5 linked regions of the Mus musculus genome follow. The protein of the gene in region 1 interacts with the protein of each later gene in a biochemical or structural test. Links are inferred from orthologs where the notes say so. Each region holds a gene or a part of one and is shown in the gene's direction. Other genes may lie near its edges. The genes, in order: Zap70, Erbb3, Lcp2, Lat and Shc1.

Region 1 (2,821 bases):
CTCCCTAACAGTTGCTGCACCCACCCTCCCAGCCCACCCATCCACATTCACTCAGGTGAGCCCGTGGCACCTCAGCGTTGAGACGTGACACTGGGAGGATGGGTGGGATGGAGGAGATGGCCATGCAGGGAGCTGTCCCTGGGGTGTCCTCAGCAGGCGTGGGTCTCATAAGAGGGCTGAGTCTCCCTGACTGCTGTTGACCCTGTGACCTTTAGCCTCAGAGACGAGTGGACACCCTGAACTCGGACGGATACACCCCTGAACCAGGTGAGCCGCAGAGGCAGAGCTGAGCATGCGCTTATGCCCACCCGAAAACAGGGTCCCTGGCTGGCCTGTGGGACTTAGCAAGAGTTGACAAAGCCAGAGCCATTGCCAGGGGTCTGTCCCATGCACAGCAATGCTTAGTCATCACGCCTGCCCATGGGCCTGTATATCCTAGTGTATGCCACGTGAGGGTGGGTACATCATGGCTTATGGCCGTGTGTCTGGTGTGTCTGAGCTTCCCGTGTCCTTTACGTGCCCTTCCCCCTCCCCCATTCCTCTCTAACCCGGGAGTGCATGACACCCGTATGTATACCCAGCACGCTTAGCGTCATCGACAGACAAGCCCCGGCCGATGCCCATGGACACAAGTGTGTACGAGAGTCCCTACAGCGACCCTGAGGAACTCAAAGACAAGAAGCTCTTCCTGAAGCGAGAGAATCTCCTCGTGGCGGACATCGAGCTTGGCTGTGGCAACTTTGGCTCCGTGCGCCAGGGAGTCTATCGCATGCGCAAGTATGGCGGGGCCTTCTGCCACAGCGTGGGTATCAGAGCAGAGGAGTTGTAGGAGCCATGGACCCCTGAGAGGGAGACACTGGCCCCCACTAGGAGGGCTTATGAAGTTATGCAGAGGGGAACCCCTTGTTGACTGGCCATGACAGGCCACGCAGGCACTCCCTGGGAAGGTGTCTCTGACTGAGACAGTTCAGGTATCTCTGGGAACGGATGGCTTGGCAGTGAACCAGAGGGTGCACGGTTGACGGGGGTTGGGGTGGGTGGGGTGGGGGTTGGGAGTGGAGGGTAGGGGGTGGTGGAGCAAGAGAGCCGGGTGTGGCCTGTGTTGGCCCAGTTCCCACCCAAGCTGTCTGTGGCCTCGCACCTGGGCAGGAAGCAGATTGACGTGGCCATCAAGGTGCTGAAGCAGGGCACAGAGAAGGCCGACAAAGATGAGATGATGCGAGAGGCCCAGATCATGCACCAGCTCGACAACCCCTACATCGTGCGGCTCATCGGCGTGTGCCAGGCAGAAGCACTCATGCTGGTCATGGAGATGGCGGGAGGCGGGCCCCTGCACAAGTTCCTGCTGGGAAAGAAGTGAGCCTGGGGGACACTCACGGGGTGGGGGAGTAGGGATGGGGGTGGGGGTGGGGGGAGAAATAGAGGAACACACACAAAGAGAGAGAGAGAGAGAGAGGGAGAGAGAGAGAGAGAGAGGCAGACAGAGAGGCAGACAGACACACGCACAGAGACACAGACAGACGCACACACAGAGACACACAGAGAAAGAGAAACAGAGAGACACACAGATACACAGAGAGACAGATAGGTATACACAGAGGCAGAGAGACAGATAGACAGGCACACAGAGACAGACACAGAGAGACAGACAAGACATACAAAGACATACACACAGAAATAAAGATACAGACAGACAGATAGACACAGACAGAGACAGACACAGAGACACACACACAGAGACAGAGAGAAATGGATAGACATACAGAGACACACAGAGACATAGACACAGAGACAGACACACAGAGAGATAGACACAGACAGACACAGACACACACACACACACAGAGAAATAAAGACACAGACAGACAGACAGACACAGACATACACAGAGACAGAGAGAAATGGACAGACACACAGAGACACACACAGAGAGACAGACAGACAGACACAGAGACACAAACAGACACACACACATACAGAGAGACACACACAGACAGACAGACACAGTGCACACCACCTGCCCTTACTTCTTCCTGGACATGCCTGCCCTATGTGTACTCTGACGCTCACACTCATGCTATAAAGAAGAGCTCCTGACTCTGTTTCCCCACGTGCACTATGGTGGCGATAGCAGGAACTGTGCCCAGGGTTCCTGTAAACATTGAACATGTAATAAAGCTCTTAGCATCTGGCACTGCCAACAAGGATGGTCTACATGCCAGCCACATCACTGATGCCCAGGTTTTCTACACCCATGCCCCATGGGAAGGGAGACTGACTCCACCATCCCCTCCACCCCAGGGAGGAGATCCCTGTGAGCAATGTGGCTGAACTGCTGCACCAGGTGGCCATGGGCATGAAGTATTTGGAGGAGAAAAACTTTGTGCACCGCGACCTGGCAGCCCGCAATGTTCTACTGGTCAATCGGCACTATGCCAAGATCAGCGACTTTGGCCTGTCCAAAGCCCTGGGTGCTGACGACAGCTATTACACAGTGAGTGCCACCCCAGTGGTGCCCAGGTGGAGGTGGCTGGTGGGGGAGGGTTCCCAAGCTCCGGTCCTAGCAGTTCCTCCCCGTCTCAGGCCCGGTCTGCAGGGAAGTGGCCTCTGAAGTGGTACGCGCCAGAGTGCATCAACTTTCGGAAGTTCTCCAGCCGCAGTGACGTCTGGAGCTATGGGGTCACCATGTGGGAGGCCTTCTCCTATGGCCAGAAGCCCTACAAGGTAGGCTGGGCAGTTTGGCAACGGTGGGCTGGGGAGGTGGACCCTGGCTCCTCACACACGAATGCCTTTGTCCCTGGCCTGAGCAGAAAATGAAGGG
Region 2 (3,366 bases), on another chromosome or scaffold:
TATATTTTGCAGCACATGCTGGCCGTCGGCAGCCTGGACCATGCCCACATTGTACGGCTGCTGGGACTGTGCCCAGGGTCATCTCTGCAGCTTGTCACTCAGTACTTGCCTCTGGGCTCTCTCCTTGATCATGTAAGACAGCACCGTGAGACACTGGGACCACAGCTGCTGCTCAACTGGGGAGTACAAATTGCCAAGGTGAGGGGAGTCAGGGGAGGCCTTTGATAGCAACAGCTTAGCTGGGGAAGGTCGGGGTTGAGGAAGGAGGATTAAGGGTTTGAGGTCATGAGTGCTGTCTTCAAGGTGTGGCCAGCTGCTATTGCTCAGTGGCCGACTCCCCCAACCCTGAGACCACCTCCTCCTCTAGGGTATGTATTACCTCGAGGAACACAGCATGGTGCATAGGGACCTTGCGCTCCGGAATGTGATGCTTAAGTCACCGAGTCAAGTCCAGGTGGCAGATTTTGGTGTGGCTGACTTGCTGCCGCCAGATGACAAGCAGTTACTACACAGTGAGGCCAAGGTGAGGTGACAAGGGCCGGAGTGGTTGGGTGGCGTGAGCATGGAATACAGAGCAGTCAAGGGGCTCTAGCTGAGATAAGTAAATGAGTCCTGGAGATTCAAGGAGAGGAAGCTGAGAATGACAGAAAATTTAAGTTCGCGGGATCAGGGGGGAATGGGTGATAGAGAACTTGTAGTTTTAAGAAAATAGGTGAAAATTAATGGGTAGCACCTTCATCTTTAATCTTCAGACTCCAATTAAATGGATGGCCCTTGAGAGTATCCACTTTGGGAAATACACACACCAGAGTGATGTCTGGAGTTACGGTAAGCACCCCTTTGTCATCACCAGCTCAGGTCCCCCTTTTGTGTCTCCTCTTAAGAACTATATGCCAGCCAGGTGTGGTGGCGCACGCCTTTAATCCCAGCACTTGGGAGGCAGAGGCAGGCGGATTTCTGAGTTCGAGGCCAGCCTGGTCTACAAAGTGAGTTCCAGGACAGCCAGGACTACACAGAGAAACCCTGTCTCGGAAAAAAAACAAGAAACAAAACCAAAAAAACTATATGCCCTTGCAATCCTTGTATTAAAGGGAGGCCAACCCTCCCTTCCCTTTGTGCCTGTATCTATTTTTCATAATTATTACTTAATTTCTTCCTGTATCAGGTGTAACCGTTTGGGAGTTGATGACCTTCGGGGCAGAGCCCTACGCAGGGCTACGACTGGCTGAAATACCAGACCTGCTGGAGAAGGGAGAGCGGTTAGCACAGCCCCAGATCTGCACCATTGACGTCTACATGGTCATGGTCAAGTGTGAGTTGTCTTCTGACCCTAGCCTTTTCTAACTGACTCCCTCCTTTCTCTTCCACGGCTCTGTTCTCTCTTCTGGCTCAACCTCCTACATCTCTCCCTAGGTTGGATGATTGACGAGAATATTCGCCCAACCTTTAAAGAACTGGCCAATGAGTTTACCAGGATGGCCCGGGACCCACCAAGGTATCTGGTCATCAAGGTGAGTAAGGGCTAGAGGATGTCAGAGTCATTTAGGGAAAGGACGTAGAGAACTAGAACCCACCTTAATGGATTTCTACTCCTGTAGAGAGCGAGTGGGCCTGGAATACCTCCTGCAGCAGAGCCATCTGCTCTGAGCACCAAAGAGTTGCAGGATGCAGAGCTGGAGCCAGACCTGGACCTCGACCTAGACGTGGAGGTAGAAGAGGAGGGCCTGGCGACCACACTGGGTTCTGCCCTCAGCTTGCCTACAGGAACGCTTACCCGGCCACGTGGGGTAAGATATCTTCTAACCGCACAAGATTCTGCTACGCAGACACCCCCCACACACACACACACCCCACCCCCGTGAGCATGAAGAATCACCACTCATCAGCCTCCACACTAAGAATAGATTTCTTCCTTCATTTTAGCCCTTTCCTTTCCTTTCCCATTCTAGAGCCAGAGTCTTTTAAGTCCTTCGTCTGGATACATGCCCATGAACCAGAGCAACCTTGGGGAGGCTTGTCTGGTAAGATGTGCTGGCGCTTGCTCCAGCCCAAAGGTTTATTATTGTATGTAAGTCTACTGTAGCTGTCTTCAGACACACCAGAAGAGGGCATCAGATCTTATTACAAATGGTTGTGAGCCACCATGTGGTTGCTGGGATTTGAACTCAGCACCTTTGGAAGAGCAGTCAGTGCTCTTAACTGTTGAGCCATCTCTCCAACCCCGCATCTTGCTCCTTATCCTCTCTCTCTCTATTCCCCTCCCTGCTCTTTCTATCCTCTACTACTCCACTCCTCTTCTCCTCTCTTCTCTTCTCTCTCTCTCTCTCTCTCTCTCTCTGCCTTTCTCTGCCTCTACTCCCTCAACTCCCCTCCCCATGCCCTGAATAAACTCCATCCTATACTAAAAAAAAAAAAAAAAAAAAAAGAAAAGGAGAGAAAAGAAAAGAAAAAGGAAAATGGAGATGTTTCAAATTTTTAAGGTTTAGTTAGCATCCTGCCAACAGAGAAGGCCCTCCCCGAGCAACTGTGCCTCCTTCTGAGTCTGTATTTTTATACAGTCCATATAATCCTTGTATTGCTTCCTATGACTTTTCCTCCGTAGGATTCTGCGGTTTTGGGGGGTCGCGAACAGTTCTCCCGTCCCATCTCTCTGCACCCGATCCCACGGGGGCGTCAAACGTCAGAGTCATCAGAGGGCCATGTGACGGGCTCTGAGGCTGAACTCCAAGAGAGAGTATCAATGTGTAGGAGCCGGAGCCGGAGCCGGAGCCCACGGCCACGTGGGGACAGTGCCTACCATTCGCAGCGACACAGCCTGCTTACTCCCGTCACCCCGCTCTCCCCACCAGGGTTAGAGGAAGAGGATGGCAATGGTTATGTCATGCCAGATACGCACCTCAGAGGTACCTGTCACTTCCAGCGTTACCCTCAAATCTTCTAATCTTTTTTTCTCCAAGCTCCCCTTAATTTTTTTTATCTTCTCTGATGACTCGCTCGCTCCCATTCCTTCTGGTTATTTCTATGAAGTTCTATATATACTTAAGAGTTTCTCTCAACCATAGGTACATCCTCTTCCCGGGAAGGCACCCTTTCGTCAGTAGGTCTCAGTTCTGTGCTGGGTACCGAAGAGGAAGATGAAGATGAGGAGTATGAATACATGAACCGGAAGAGGAGGGGTAGCCCGGCTCGGCCCCCCAGACCTGGTTCCCTGGAAGAGCTGGGCTATGAGTACATGGATGTGGGTTCAGACCTCAGTGCTTCTCTGGGCAGTACGCAGAGTTGCCCACTCCATCCCATGGCCATCGTGCCCTCTGCTGGCACGACTCCAGATGAGGACTATGAATACATGAACCGCAGGCGTGGTGC
Region 3 (4,060 bases), on another chromosome or scaffold:
AGATGACCAGTACCACAACCACAACCATGACCACTACCACCTTGACTACCACCACAACCACTTCCACCACCACTAAAGTAGTTTTGGCACACCAAGACAATCTCCAAAAGCCCTTGTATGGAAGTCTTTACATAATATCAAGTGTACCACAGGATTTAGGGCAAAATTTCACCTTCATTACACACTGGTTTACTTCAAAATTCAAACTAGGCCAGACAGCAGATGCTTAAGCCAATGAGAAAGACATAGAATCTCAAGAAGATATTCACCCATTTGATGCTCAGCCAAGCCGCATGTTGAAAAGAAGCTCAGATCCCACAATCCTATTAGCATGTGCACAGCTGTGTGAGTTTGGCAAGCCAGGTGTTCCTCAAAAGACCTTTCAGATCTGAAGCCCCTGCTTAAAGTCAGACTTCCCCTAGAGACACAGACACGGTTTTCATCAGAATCTGTTTTTCAGCCCTAACCTCATGCCTGTTCCAAATTTAATGTTCTGTTCAACCTTGTTTACAGGAAAGAAACCACCATTTTCTGATAAGGTAGGCTGCTTTTCTGGTTTGTTTATGATTTTAGTCTTTGTTTGTTTTGCTTTTATCTTGTCCTGACTCTTTGGAAAGTGTCTGATCCTCACGTGTCTTCCTTGTTGTCTTGCAGCCCTCAGCCCCATTGGGGAGGTAAGTGTCTGTCATACTGTACCAAGTCCAGAATTCTGCTGCAGATCTCTGCCCAATGAAAGTGGCTTTTATATATATATATCTCCTCTCTCTTCCCACTCAGGGAACATTTACCCAAGATACAAAAGCCTCCTTTGCCACCAGCCATGGACAGACACGAAAGAAATGAAAGACTCGGACCCGTGACAACGAGGAAGCCACCAGTTCCAAGGTGACTGTCCTGTGCTGCCTGAGTCGGGCCTTTGAACTCCAATACTTGAGAGGTTGAGGGCTCCTTTCCTTGCTGGTTGGATGAAAGCTACTGAGGTCTGTCAAGAGAATGGGAATGTAGCTGAGGAGGGGGCGAGTAGCAGCACTTAATGGGGAGGGCTGTGTGGTTGCTGTCGGAGTCCTTGTCTGAACCAGACTTGGTTTTGTTGGACTTCCTGCCTTGTCAGACTGAAGCCTGAACAGCTCATAGGAACTGCACCTGCAGCTTTATTTTGTAAGGGAGCAGGGGTGTGGGGTGGGGGTGGGGGTGCGCTGGTTCTAGGCCTGCATTAGCTGCTTTCTTACTGCTCAACCATTTTTACAACGACAGGAGACGGAGCTCAGTTCTAGCAGCTTTACCTGTGCTATAAAATCATGTATGGTCTATTTACCAAACGGCACAAGTGCACTTGGGTTCTGGGCCAGCCCTGCTACTTGGAGGGGAGCAGTGAGTTTCATTATCTCCTCTGTCTATAAAGGTTCATAACCATCGCCCTGGTTTGGCTGTTGTGAGGATTCAGTCAAGACTAAGGGCCACAGTGTGCCAAGAAAATCCCCAGTCTTTGACTTTCATAGCATTTTAATGGATTATTTAACAAAATCAGAGCACATAAAAAACAATTTAATGGCCAAAATACCAAAATTTTCAATAAAACAGGGCAAGAACTGATGGACGACATAAGAAACATCTGACATTAGCTACTCAACAAATCATTCTTCCTCCCTCCCTCCCTCCTTCCCTCCCCCTTCTTCTCTCCCTCCCTCTATCCACCCATCCATCCTTGCCTCCCTCCATCCCTCTCCTTTCCTCCCTCCCTTCCTCCCTTCTTCTCTCCCTCCCTCTATCCACCCACCCATCCTTGCCTCCCTCCCTCTCTCCTTTCTTTTTTCCCTATCCCTCCCTATCCCTCCCTCCCTCCCTCCTTCCCTCCCTCCCTCCATCTCTTCCTCCTATCACTCCCCTCCTTCCCTCCTTCTCTCCCTCCCCTCTTTACCTCTCTCCCAGGAAGTACAGATGCCTCTCCCAACGCTTAGACAGCTATTGTCAAAGCTGTTGGACTGGCCCATCTGTGCCAATGACACCAAGGCCCTATTGGCAAAGCCCGGAGCAGGGACCTTTGCCAACTGTTTTCTTAATACTTGAAGGGCAAGCCCTGTGGTGGCTGGTTTGAAACCTCAGCAAAGAAGAATATTACTGAAAATGTTTTTATTTGCTTGGAAAAACATCTACTCAGTGAAATTTAATAGCTCCTAAAAGCTGACTAAACATATATACGTGTATAATTGTGTAATTATTTGCTATAGTAGCGCTATAGAACAAAGGTTTGCCTAGCTCAGCTTGCAAAGATAACAGGGCATCCAGTGGCCACATTTCCCTTCTCTCCCAACCCCAGCATTTCTGCTGGCACTGGCAACTTCCCCTTTGGCCACGGCTCAGTAGGTTTTATTTCTCCTTATGCGATTTACTGAAATTATATTCTGGGGCTGGCTCTTTGAAACTCTTGATGCTCACATCTCTGCTCTAATTCATTTCAGGCATGGAAGGGGACCAGACAGAAGAGAGAATGTAAGTGTGAAATGTCATTTAATAAATGCTTGGCACAGGGACAGCCAGTGTAGGCTCTGGGGAGGTGGGACTGCATCTGCCTTGCCCTTGTCTGAAGTTAGGTAATGAGAGCAAGACCTACAAAGAGTATCTTAAATGCCAGCCTCTGCATCTTGTTACTTAGAGTTCATCAAGCTGAATTGCCTAGCCCCTGGCTCTCTGAGAGGTCCCAGGGTGGCTGGCTTCTTGCAGCCTCATCCCCAAGGGTAATTTGCAAGAAGAGTGAGGATCAGGAATAGAGGGAAGGGTCGGGAAGATGCTATGATTTTAGTGGCCCTGCACGACATCACTCTTTCTCTTTTTGTGTGAGCACTGTAACGGTCCTTGAATGTTGCAGAGAACATGGACTAGGGTTGCTCCACTTTTGTTCCAGTCCCAGGGATGTCTAAGGAAGATGGGAGGGGATGGCTATGAGCATTCCCAAACCATCAGGGCAGCAACTTGCTACAGAGACATAGTGACAGAGTGAAAGACAGACACTGAGGCTGACATCACATCCCTGAGGCACTGAGTCTCTGAGAGATTAATTCTCCTGAGAATCTAGGGTTGTGCCTTCCTCAGCCAGGGGGGACATGGCCTCCATGCAGGAGAGCAGTGACACTTTGTTTATTTGTGTGGCCCTCTGCTGACTTTCAGTATTTCAGGATGAGAGATTGTGATTGGTGTAGAACTGATGGTAGAAAGCTTTATTAAGCAGTACTTAACTAATGCCAGGGCACAGTAACTAACTTTATCCTTATAAAGGTACCAATTCATGACCACTGGGCTGCTCTAACTAACCAGTTCATGGTCCTTTGATTTTTTCTAGTCACTGGCAGGGCTTCTGTGTCTCTTTGAACCTCATTTCTTATTAGAGAAAGGGGGTGGCCTTTCTCTTGTCTGTCTCACAAAGTGACTCTGCAGTTGAAATAGTAAGGAATAAAATAGTAGTTACACCTTGTAAACTTCGCTATGAATAAATGAGGGACAGATATTGCAAAGGAGAGGCAGGAAAAGGGCTGGAGCTTTGGACCAGGCAGGTGTGAGGGTGTGTGAAGCCTTTCCTGTCTCCATGGTAAATGCGCTGAAGCACGAGTATCATTTCTATTGCAAATCGTGTTCCAGTCTTAGATCAACTGAAGAGAATTGACCGAAATATCAGTAACCTCATGAGGCTTGTAAATGCTGTTATATCCAAGTCCTTTAGGAGCCTCAGAATCAGTCCAGCTGAGCATTTGAGAGGAATCTCCGAATCGAATGTCTTTGGATGATTATGGACATTAGAAAAACCATAAACCACTTAGCACATTCTAACTAGATTATGAAGAGGGGAAGCTCTAGAAAATTCTCCACAACCTATTTATTATGAAAAACTATAACTGTTAAAGAAAGAGCCAGGCACAGTATTTGACTGAGAAGTGTCTTCTTAGAAATTGGATTGCAACACTAAGTTAATCTATTTCGATGTTTTTTCTTTGCAGGATGAAGATGATGGTATGTCTCCAGATCTTTATCACAAGCCATTCTCCTTCTTAAAACACCAATTCTCTCA
Region 4 (4,740 bases), on another chromosome or scaffold:
TCTAGTAAGTGCTATCCTTGGCTGGGATGGAATGGTTTTGGGGACCTGGAACTCCCTACCCTGACTGGTGGCATGAGTCTGGCCAAGATTAGGCAATAGATGCCTATGGCGCATCTCCCCTTTGGTCCTCTGGTGTATAGGAAGGAAGCCATAGGAAGGTTTTGCCCGTTAGGCTGTGGGTCTCACCCTATGACCCAAATATTCCCCTTCCCAGCCTCTGTTTTCTTGGTCAGTGCTCTGCACCCCCCAGGTCTCTGACTCTTTTCTCCCTGCAGATCTCTGACCGCCTCCGACGGAGCTGGCCCCCTTCCTTCCTGTCCGAGTTCCGGGCTCTGCAGTTCTCGCTCATGCTCTGTGCTTTCGTTGGGGCACTGGGTGGTGCGGCCTTCCTGGGCACCGCCATGTTCATTGAAGATGACCGCCGGCGGGCTCAACTCCACGTGCAGGGTGAGTGAGGGTCACTGTAGGTCCACCTTCACAGTACCACCTGCCTGTCTGTCTGTCTCCGCGTATGTACTCTACAGTTCTCCCTCCACTCAGACTAGCCCATCCATTCATGCCACCAGCTGGGGGCAAGAGTCCCAGCATCCCAGGCTCATCCAGCTTAGCTTTGGGTCTGTCTGGAAGTGGATTGGGCTCTGTCTGTGTGCAGTTCTGAGGGCTCTCCATGCTGCCTCATCTGGGCCCCTCTGCCTGTGTCCCCTTGCTGCCTGTGTCCCCTTGCTGGCTCTTATCTTACTGGCCTTGGCTCTGACCCCTTTCTCGCAGGTCTGTTGCATGAGTCTGGGCCCTCAGATGACCGGATTGTAGTACCTCAGCGAGGCCGTTCTACCCGAGTCCCCGTGTCCAGCGTGCTCATCTGAGGAGCCGGTGCTTACCCGGCCACTGATGCATCGCAGCTGGGCCTTGGGCCCACCCAAGACGGTTCCCAGGCAGAAGCCCTCACCAGGCCCAGGTCCAAGAAGGAAGCCCTGGGATATCTCCCAGCTCCCAGACACTACATGGGCAGCCCAGGGAAGAGATGGGAGTCCAGAAACGGGGAAGGGGTGTCCTCTCTACTAGGACAGCCCAAGGGGTTTGGTGCTATTTGTAATGGAATAAAATTTGTAATCAGACTCCTGACTGACTGCTTGTCTCTCTGTGGGTGCCACTGGCCTCAGGGAATATCCATAGTCCCAGGACTTAGCAGGGGCTGTCAGGTCACCCTGTGGGTAAGTCCCTGTCTTCTGAGCTTGGTAATCTAGAAGGAGGGCTGCTCTTTTCTGAGTGAGCTGGTTCAGTATGACTGTGACTCACCGTGGTCCCCTGGAAGTCGCTCTCCCAGTAGTTAAGCCTGGGAGCTGGGGGCCTGTGGTGCCCTCAGTGCCCTCGGTCCACACAGGCCTTGGCAGAGCCTCCTTGCAGTTCTCCCACCCGGGCATGGGGAGGGTACCGCGGGCCTGGTTGGCACGTGTCTCCTTTCCTAGTGGACGGGCTGCCTCATCCTGCAGCCTTAGACCCTTCCTCCACACAGTCCCTCTGCCTCCTCCCCCTTCCCACAACTGGGTGGGGGTGAGTGGGCAGGGGGCAGGCTCAGCCTGCTGAGCAGCCTGATGATTTCCTGCCCTCACCACAGCTTCCTGTCGCACGCGGTGGTGAGCAGGAGAGGCAGGCGGGGAGCAAGAAAGGGGCAGGTACAGCTGGGCACGGGGATCGTGCAGCTGGTAGCTGGGGCACGGGCCCCAGCTCTGGCTCTGGGGCGAGCACCTTTCCAGAGCCAACACTGCTCTCAACTCAGTCCAGCAAGAGAGGGGAGCCATCCAGCCCCGAAAGGATACGGCTGCCTACTGCCGGGCGGATCCCAGGCTGGAGCCCGCTTGGTCCCATACCCCTGCTGCCACTCTGTCTCGAGGGGCTGCAGTGCAGCAGGGCCTGTGGCAGGTGCTCTGCAGATGGAAGCAGACGCCTTGAGCCCGGTGGGGCTGGGCCTCCTGCTGCTGCCCTTCTTGGTCACGCTCCTGGCTGCCCTGTGCGTGCGCTGCCGTGAGTTGCCAGGTAAGTGGGAAGCTTTGCGGAACTGGATGATGGGTGGGCGCTCCATTGGATCCTCATACCCTCCCCAGCCCCTGCACTCTCCACTGTCCCTACCTGGGCCCTGATTGATGGTGGGGGGCCTGAGTTTCTTTGTCCCTGGTGCACCCCGATCCTGACTTGTTGGATTTCTTTCCTCCAGTCTCCTATGACAGCACTTCCACAGAGAGGTGAGTGGGAAGCCCGTGTCCCTGTGTGTCTTCCCTTGGTTCCACTCAAGGGTTTGGGGCTGGGGCCCTCTTGGCCCTGTACCCAAGCTGTCTCTTTCCTGCCAGTTTGTACCCAAGAAGCATCCTCATCAAGCCACCTCGTGAGTTCAGTGTCTCTGGCCCTCCTCGAGGGTTTTTAAGAGTGTGCGTTTGTCCTTGTTCACCTTTAGCTGTCTGAAGGGCTGTTCCCTGGCTTGGGATGGGGAAAGTGGGAGCCCCCATGTCTGTCTAGGGCATGTTATTTTGGGGTCCATTTGTCCTTCGAGGCCTTGATGGGGGGTGTCTGGAGCCATCCCTCAAGCTTCATTCTGTGTCCTCAGAAATAACCGTCCCCCGAACACCTGCTGTTTCCTACCCTCTAGTCACTTCCTTCCCACCCCTGAGGCAGCCAGACCTGCTCCCCATCCCGTGAGTATCCCCCAACTCCGTCCCTTGGGTCTACTGTGCCTCTCCACCTTCTAGGTTGGGGAGGCGCTTTTTCCTGGTTGTCTTGCTCCCAGAGTCCTACCTAGACGTAATCTCTGACCTTTGGCTTCCAGGAGATCCCCACAGCCCCTTGGGGGTTCCCATCGGATGCCATCTTCCCAGCAGAATTCAGATGATGGTAAGGGTGTAGGGCACAGGAGGGCTTTGGGGAGGATGTACAACCTGAGCTGATCCAGTCTTCTTCTCCCTCTCTCTTTGAAGCCAACAGTGTGGCAAGCTACGAGAACCAGGGTGGGTCTGGGGTCTGGGGTAGTGGGTGGGGTGGGGAGGCTGGACCTGTCCAGGTCGTGTTAACTCTCCTTTCTCACAGAGCCAGCCTGTAAGAATGTGGATGCAGATGAGGATGAAGACGACTATCCCAACGGCTACCTGTGAGTGGGTAGAGGGGAGGTGACCGTGGAAGTTGTGTGCCCTTTATCAACTTCTCGTTCCTTCCTTTCTTCCAGAGTGGTGCTGCCTGACAGTAGTCCTGCTGCCGTCCCTGTTGTCTCCTCTGCTCCTGTGCCTAGCAACCCTGACCTTGGAGACAGTGCCTTCTCTGGTGAGTCAGGCTTTCTGTCTACCTCCCTCTGCCATGTGCTGCCAGCTCTCCACTCTTGCCTCCCTCTCACCTCCGTGACGATTGCCGCCCTTCCATTTCCTCCTGTAGACGTTGGGCTTCCTGCTCCTCATCACTTCCGACTGTCTTGTTTTTCCTTCCACCTTTGCTCCTTCGTCTCTGTTGTCTAAGAAATTTCCTGACTCTTTTTGAACCCTGCCATTGAAATTTCATTTCTCGGCTGGGTGTGAGGGCCTACGATCCCAGCATCAGGAGGCAGTGGCAGGAGGGTTGAATTTGAGGCTAGCCTGGGCTACATAGTGATACCCTCTCTTCGAAAACCAAAACAGCACGACGATCAACAAAAAGAAAACAAAAGAATTTATTTCTCTTATCTGAAAGTCCCCCTCCCCTTTTTTGGCGTCTCGGTTCTTTTTGTATAGTACACTGTTGTTTCTTGGAAGCAATATCATCTAATGTATCTATAAGAACTTTGATTACATAGCCGGGTGGTGGTGGCGCACGCCTTTAATTCCAGCACTCGGGAGGCAGAGGCAGGCGGATTTCTGAGTTCAAGGCCAGCCTGGTCTACAGAGTGAGTTCCAGGACAGCCAGGACTACACAGAGAAACCCTGTCTCGAAAAAACAAAACAAAACAAATTTTGATTACAGATTGTTTCTCTCTGTGTCTCTATCCCTCTCTGGTTCTGCCCGTCTCTCTGTATCTCTGCCCGTCTCTCTGTATCTCTGCCCGTCTCTCTGTATCTCTGCCCGTCTCTCTGTATCTCTGCCCGTCTCTCTGTATCTCTGCCCGTCTCTCTGTATCTATCTCTGCCCGTCTCTCTGTATCTCTGCCCGTCTCTCTGTATCTCTGCCCGTCTCTCTGTATCTCTGCCTGTCTCTCTCACACACACTCACTGAAGATTTATTCTGCGTACCACATGGTCGTTGTTTCTCTTGGGCTGCTTTTCTCTGCTTTGGTCTTTCTCCTTCCTTGAGCTTTTCTCAAGTTCTGGTGATCTTCAGTTTTCTATCCTCTTATCTCTGTATAGCATGAGTATCCCTTACCTGAAACACTTCAATACAGATTTGGGAATATTTATAAACATATAATAAATTCTCTTGGGGATGAAACTCAAGATAAAACATGTAATTAATTTATTCATGTTTTATACAAACCATATATGTAATATATACACAGTCTGAAGATAGGTTTTTGTTTTGTCTTAGTTTTATTGGCATAGAGCGTCATTGTATAGTCCTGGCTGTCCTGGAACTTGATATCTAGACCAGGTAGACTCAAACTCAAATTAAACGTGTAGGTTACCATGCTCGGTCTTTAAGGTAGTTCTATGCAAATTTTAATTAATCTTTTGTATGAAATAGAAGTTTCATGAAATTTTCCATTTGTGGTATCGCACCAGTATGAAAAGGTTT
Region 5 (4,661 bases), on another chromosome or scaffold:
GGAGAGAATGAAGGGTGGTATTTAAACTGCTTTAAGTGCTGCTGAAGAGGTCTGAAGGTAGACACTTTGAGCAACCTCCGCAGCCACAGCAGCGGTTAGGCAAGTGGAGGCAAACCCCGGTGATTGGTTCTCTGTAAGTTCCAGGCCATCCTGGTCAGCCTGGTCTACAAAGCAAGTTCCAGGGCAGTCAGTGTTGTTACATAGACAAACCCTATCTTGAAAAAACAAATAAGCAAAAAGTATCTTTTATTTCTTGTATTTGGTTTTTTTTTTTTTTTTTTTTTGGTTTTCGAGACAGGGTTTCTCTGTATAGCCCTGGCTGTCCTGGAACTCACTTTGTAGACCAGGCTGGCCTCGAACTCAGAAATCCACCTGCCTCTGCTGGGATTAAAAGGGTGCACCACCACACCCAGCTACTTTTTTTTTTTTTTTTTTAAGGGAATAAAGCGATAGTTTATTCTGGAGCTATTTTGATTGGTCACTTTCTTTAAGTTCCTGAATGGCCTTAAGCAGAGCTGTGGCAGGAAACTGTGGGCAAAGAAATATGGGTTTGGTATTATTATGCACTTATGGCCAGACTCCAACTTCTAATATCCCTTTCTCCTTCCTGTCTTTATTAACACAGATTTGTTTATGACCCTATTATCCCTTTGTGGCTTGTAGGCACCAGTTCTGTTTCTTTCCCCTACCTCCAAGGCCAACTCCTCCACTAGCCTGAGGTACACTGTCAGGTGGTTTACTGCCTGTAAGGAGTAACAATATATCTGTAGGTCCGAGGGGTGGCTGCATGTCTCTGTACCCTCTGGGGAAGCCCTACTCCCACCCCCCAAGTCTGTTGGTCCTTGGTGACTTGTAGAAACAGGCTTGCTCTAGCTCTTGTCTGGTAGCCCCCTGATGTACCACCAATAAATTGGCCTTTATTCCCATTTTAGCTTGTCTTTCCTCTTGGCTTTGCACTATATCCACTGGGACTTACTTTCTCTCCCTGGTTCTCTACTGTGGTCCACAGCTGTTGTGGTGGAGGATGCTAATGGCCCAGGTTCCCTGGAGCTACCACCTCACTCACTGTATGGTGGGGATGGGAGTGGTCTGGGCTGTCTGGGCTAGGGGGCTAGTCACGTCTTCAGCCAGGACTGGAAAGGAAATGCTAAACTCTGGGGGACATCTCCCCCCTTCCCCTCCCCGCCCAGCAGCTTCTGTTTCCTCTCTATCCCTTCCTGTCTTCCTGCTCTCTTTGGCTTGCCCACGTCGGTTTGGATTGGTCCAGAGTTTCTCTTAACTCCTTCCTTTCTTTTTTCTCTTTTGCTTATTTTTCCATCTTTTTTTCGCGCCGGGCACCTCCTCCTTCCCAGACAGTTGTTTGTATTGGGCTGGGAGAGTGGCCTGGCTTGCACAAATTGTGTGGGGAGGTGTCTCAGCCCCTCTGAGCCTGTGAGTCAGCACTGTCCTGGGGATTGGTCTCTCTCCTTAGTTCCCCGCCTCTGGGGAGGAGCCAGTAAGCTCTGGGTCCAGCCTGTACTCCTCAGCCAGTAGAGGTTTCCTAGCTGGGCTGTGCAAGGATGTGCTCTCAAACTGTCTAGGTCTGAGTTGGGAGAGCAGAGGTCACTTGTCCTTCGCCTCCCCAGGTCATCTGTTATCACCGGGCTGCCGAGGTCAGACTAGGCTAAGGGCCTGGGGATGCCCCCTGCCTGGCCCCCTTGCCTGAATTGGCAGGGGGGCCGGGCTGGGCAGCAGCCCCTCTTCTCACCCCAGCCATGGATCTTCTACCCCCCAAGCCGAAGTACAACCCACTTCGGAATGAGTCTCTGTCATCGCTGGAGGAGGGGGCTTCGGGGTCTACCCCTCCGGAGGAGCTACCTTCCCCATCAGCTTCATCCCTGGGACCCATTCTGCCTCCTCTGCCGGGGGACGATAGTCCGACTACCCTGTGTTCCTTCTTTCCCCGGATGAGCAACCTGAAGCTGGCCAATCCTGCTGGGGGGCGCCTGGGGCCTAAAGGGGAGCCAGGAAAGGCTGCTGAAGATGGGGAAGGGAGTGCAGGGGCAGCCCTTCGGGACTCAGGCCTCTTGCCCCTCCTCCAGGACATGAACAAGCTGAGTGGAGGCGGCGGGCGCAGGACTCGGGTAGAAGGGGGCCAGCTGGGGGGCGAGGAGTGGACCAGACACGGGAGCTTTGTCAATAAGCCCACACGAGGCTGGCTGCATCCCAACGACAAAGTCATGGGACCTGGGGTTTCCTACTTGGTTCGGGTGAGTGCATACCCCCCTCCCACTCCCTCCCGTCCAGTTCCTCTGCTCACTCCAGATTTGCCAGGGACTCCCTGCTCTTCCCCCAGCAACATCTGTGCCATTCTCTCAGTTCTTAGACCTGGTGCATTCCTTCTTCAGGTCTCTGCCCTTAATTTAGCCTGTGAATCTTCTGCCTTTCCTCCTTTGGTCCCAACCCCCCCCCCCACCCCCCCAGTTCACACAGTGCCCAAGCACATCTGAGGCTTTCTGTAAAAGTTGAATGAAAATGACTTCTTGATTATTCCCTCTAGACTCCTCCCTTTTCCAGAGATGTCACTCCATCCCACTCAATGTTTGCTACTCCTCTCGCAGTCCCCCCATGGTGCACGAAGTTCCTCTTTTGTGGTCTTTCTTCCCTTTTTCCCCTTTGCCATACACCTATGAAGTGGAAGCCCCAGGCAGTAGGAAGGCTACTTCAATCTACTTTCCTTAGGAAGTAAGGACTATATAAGGCAAAGCCCTAGAACCTTCTGCAAAGGGCTTGCAAGTGTGGGGTGGGGGATGGGGTCAGCTGATCCATTCTTCCCTCCTTCCCCTACAGTACATGGGCTGTGTGGAGGTCTTACAGTCAATGCGAGCCCTTGACTTCAATACCCGGACTCAGGTCACCAGGTTAGTGGGAAGGCGGGTATATTGCTGTAGTCTTAAGATTACTGAAGTTACAGAAGTCTCAGTAAGGGGGAGGAGGAAGTTGGGCATTTGATGGTGTTTCTGATGGTGACTTCTCATGGGCGGTGAGAGAATTGAAAGTCACAGAAGTAAGTCTGACTAAAAAGAGCCAGCTCTGGTCTGGAGCACACCTTCCCTTTCTATCCAGCCTTGGAGATTGCGGGAAGATGAGCTAGAAAAGGCAGGGGTAGGAGGTTGCTGATGCTTTGGGGAAGGGAATGGAACATTCGGTGGCTGGGAAGAGGTGGGGCTATAGCCATTGAAGCCCTAACCCAATCAGCCAGGAAGCGGCCCCTCGGTGTCATCAAATATTAAAGGCCCTTAATTCAATCCACCACGACAAAGAGCCTGGAGTGCTCTGGGAGTCTGGCCTGGTCTTCCCTTCCCCCAGCTCTGTGGCGGCCCCAGCCAGGGGGGCAGCCCATGGTGGGTCTGAGTACTCCTGTTTCTCCAGGGAGGCCATCAGTTTGGTGTGTGAAGCTGTGCCTGGTGCCAAAGGGGCGACAAGGAGGAGAAAGGTATATGTGGTGGTTGGGGCTGGGTATTGGAGGCAGGGGGAAGGCACTTCAGGACATAGCGGATGGGACAGGTGTTTCCTCAGGCTGGGAAAGCTCAGATTCTGAGACTCTGGGCCCTTTCTTAGCCTTGTAGCCGCCCACTCAGCTCCATCCTGGGGAGGAGTAACCTGAAGTTTGCTGGAATGCCAATCACTCTCACTGTGTCTACCAGCAGCCTTAACCTCATGGCAGCCGACTGCAAACAGGTAGGTAGGGCTGCTGAAAGGGACCAGAGATAGTTATGGGAGCATCAAATGGGAATCAGAGACCAAAAGCTCGGAGCTCTCAGGAACAACTGGACAGTAGAGGAGGAAGAAATTAGAAAGGTTAAGGATAGTGACACCCTTATCCCAGCACTCAGGAGGCCGAGGCAGGTGAATGCCTTTGAGTTCCAGTCAGGGCTACACAGTGAGACCTTGCACCTCACCCCACCAAAAGAAGAAAGAAATCAGGAGAACACTGGGTAAAAGACCAAGAGAATGAGCCTGGGGCTCCAAGGTTCTGCACTGGGGTGGGCCACAAGCCCTGAGGCTGCCTGACATTTACCATCCCCTCCTTCTCCATCCCCACCCTCATCAGATCATTGCCAACCATCACATGCAATCTATCTCTTTCGCGTCCGGTGGGGATCCGGTGAGTTGGGGACCAGAGGAAAGACTGGGGTGGGGAAGAAGAGACATGGGGCTAGAAAGATGCTTGCTAGAGGCTGAGTGTGGTGGCACACACTGATCCCAGCACTCACGGGACAGGTGACTCTCTTGAGTTCCAGGACAGCCAGGGCCATGCAGAGAAATCCTTGAAAAACCAAAAGAGGGAGGGAGAGAGAAGATACTGGCTAAAGAAGTAGGGTGCAAGGGTTGTGAAATGTCTGAAAGGGACAGAGTCTTAGTGGATCAGGAGTTGTAAACTCTAGCTAACTGGTCTCCTGAATCTACCCTCTCCAGGACACAGCTGAGTATGTTGCCTATGTTGCCAAAGACCCTGTGAATCAGAGAGGTGAGGCTTGCGGGCAGCACTGGGTGGGGCCAGTTATCTGAAAAGCAGTTACACTTGATAGGGTTCCCTTGCTGGGAGGGACTTGGGTGGGGGCTCCCTCCCACAGGTCATGCCAGCCCCCTGCCTCAGAGCTCACTGGTGGTCTCCACTG

Evidence for each region.
Region 2: the proteins of Zap70 (region 1) and Erbb3 form a complex in vitro, tested with the Homo sapiens proteins (2 studies listed by BioGRID and IntAct, with this or other methods). The link is inferred for Mus musculus from reciprocal best matches to the Homo sapiens genes ZAP70 and ERBB3.
Region 3: of the proteins of Zap70 (region 1) and Lcp2, one has a biochemical effect on the other in vitro, tested with the Homo sapiens proteins (2 studies listed by BioGRID). The link is inferred for Mus musculus from reciprocal best matches to the Homo sapiens genes ZAP70 and LCP2.
Region 4: of the proteins of Zap70 (region 1) and Lat, one has a biochemical effect on the other in vitro, tested with the Homo sapiens proteins (2 studies listed by BioGRID). The link is inferred for Mus musculus from reciprocal best matches to the Homo sapiens genes ZAP70 and LAT.
Region 5: of the proteins of Zap70 (region 1) and Shc1, one has a biochemical effect on the other in vitro, tested with the Homo sapiens proteins (2 studies listed by BioGRID, with this or other methods). The link is inferred for Mus musculus from reciprocal best matches to the Homo sapiens genes ZAP70 and SHC1.

Annotation. Positions count from the first base shown.
Region 1 is NC_000067.6:36,778,536-36,781,356, forward strand, and holds part of Zap70 (tyrosine-protein kinase ZAP-70), read left to right. Parts: intron 1-11; coding exon 12-55; intron 56-215; coding exon 216-267; intron 268-448; exon of another isoform or gene 449-581; coding exon 582-777; intron 778-1,149; coding exon 1,150-1,356; intron 1,357-2,301; coding exon 2,302-2,494; intron 2,495-2,583; coding exon 2,584-2,724; intron 2,725-2,810; coding exon 2,811-2,821. UniProt on the Homo sapiens protein: Tyrosine kinase that plays an essential role in regulation of the adaptive immune response. Regulates motility, adhesion and cytokine expression of mature T-cells, as well as thymocyte development.
Region 2 is NC_000076.6:128,569,591-128,572,956, reverse strand, and holds part of Erbb3 (receptor tyrosine-protein kinase erbB-3 precursor), read left to right. Parts: intron 1-12; coding exon 13-198; intron 199-367; coding exon 368-523; intron 524-752; coding exon 753-828; intron 829-1,165; coding exon 1,166-1,312; intron 1,313-1,413; coding exon 1,414-1,511; intron 1,512-1,598; coding exon 1,599-1,787; intron 1,788-1,949; coding exon 1,950-2,021; intron 2,022-2,602; coding exon 2,603-2,903; intron 2,904-3,062; coding exon 3,063-3,366. UniProt on the Homo sapiens protein: Tyrosine-protein kinase that plays an essential role as cell surface receptor for neuregulins.
Region 3 is NC_000077.6:34,077,731-34,081,790, forward strand, and holds part of Lcp2 (lymphocyte cytosolic protein 2), read left to right. Parts: intron 1-513; coding exon 514-539; intron 540-654; coding exon 655-674; intron 675-777; coding exon 778-885; intron 886-2,459; coding exon 2,460-2,490; intron 2,491-3,989; coding exon 3,990-4,002; intron 4,003-4,060. UniProt on the Homo sapiens protein: Adapter protein primarily involved in signaling pathways within T-cells, as well as other immune cells such as platelets, mast cells, and natural killer (NK) cells.
Region 4 is NC_000073.6:126,366,442-126,371,181, reverse strand, and holds the start of Lat (linker for activation of T-cells family member 1 precursor), read left to right. Parts: upstream 1-1,931; coding exon 1,932-2,034; intron 2,035-2,212; coding exon 2,213-2,240; intron 2,241-2,345; coding exon 2,346-2,380; intron 2,381-2,599; coding exon 2,600-2,687; intron 2,688-2,818; coding exon 2,819-2,883; intron 2,884-2,966; coding exon 2,967-2,996; intron 2,997-3,075; coding exon 3,076-3,136; exon of another isoform or gene 3,137-3,211; coding exon 3,212-3,306; intron 3,307-4,740. Other genes in the region: Spns1 (protein spinster homolog 1), read left to right, coding at 1-4, 276-447, 769-863. UniProt on the Homo sapiens protein: Required for TCR (T-cell antigen receptor)- and pre-TCR-mediated signaling, both in mature T-cells and during their development.
Region 5 is NC_000069.6:89,420,097-89,424,757, forward strand, and holds the start of Shc1 (SHC-transforming protein 1), read left to right. Parts: upstream 1-1,524; 5' UTR 1,525-1,754; coding exon 1,755-2,249; intron 2,250-2,632; exon of another isoform or gene 2,633-2,724; intron 2,725-2,829; coding exon 2,830-2,900; intron 2,901-3,411; coding exon 3,412-3,475; intron 3,476-3,600; coding exon 3,601-3,720; intron 3,721-4,093; coding exon 4,094-4,147; intron 4,148-4,458; coding exon 4,459-4,510; intron 4,511-4,661. UniProt on the Homo sapiens protein: Signaling adapter that couples activated growth factor receptors to signaling pathways. Participates in a signaling cascade initiated by activated KIT and KITLG/SCF.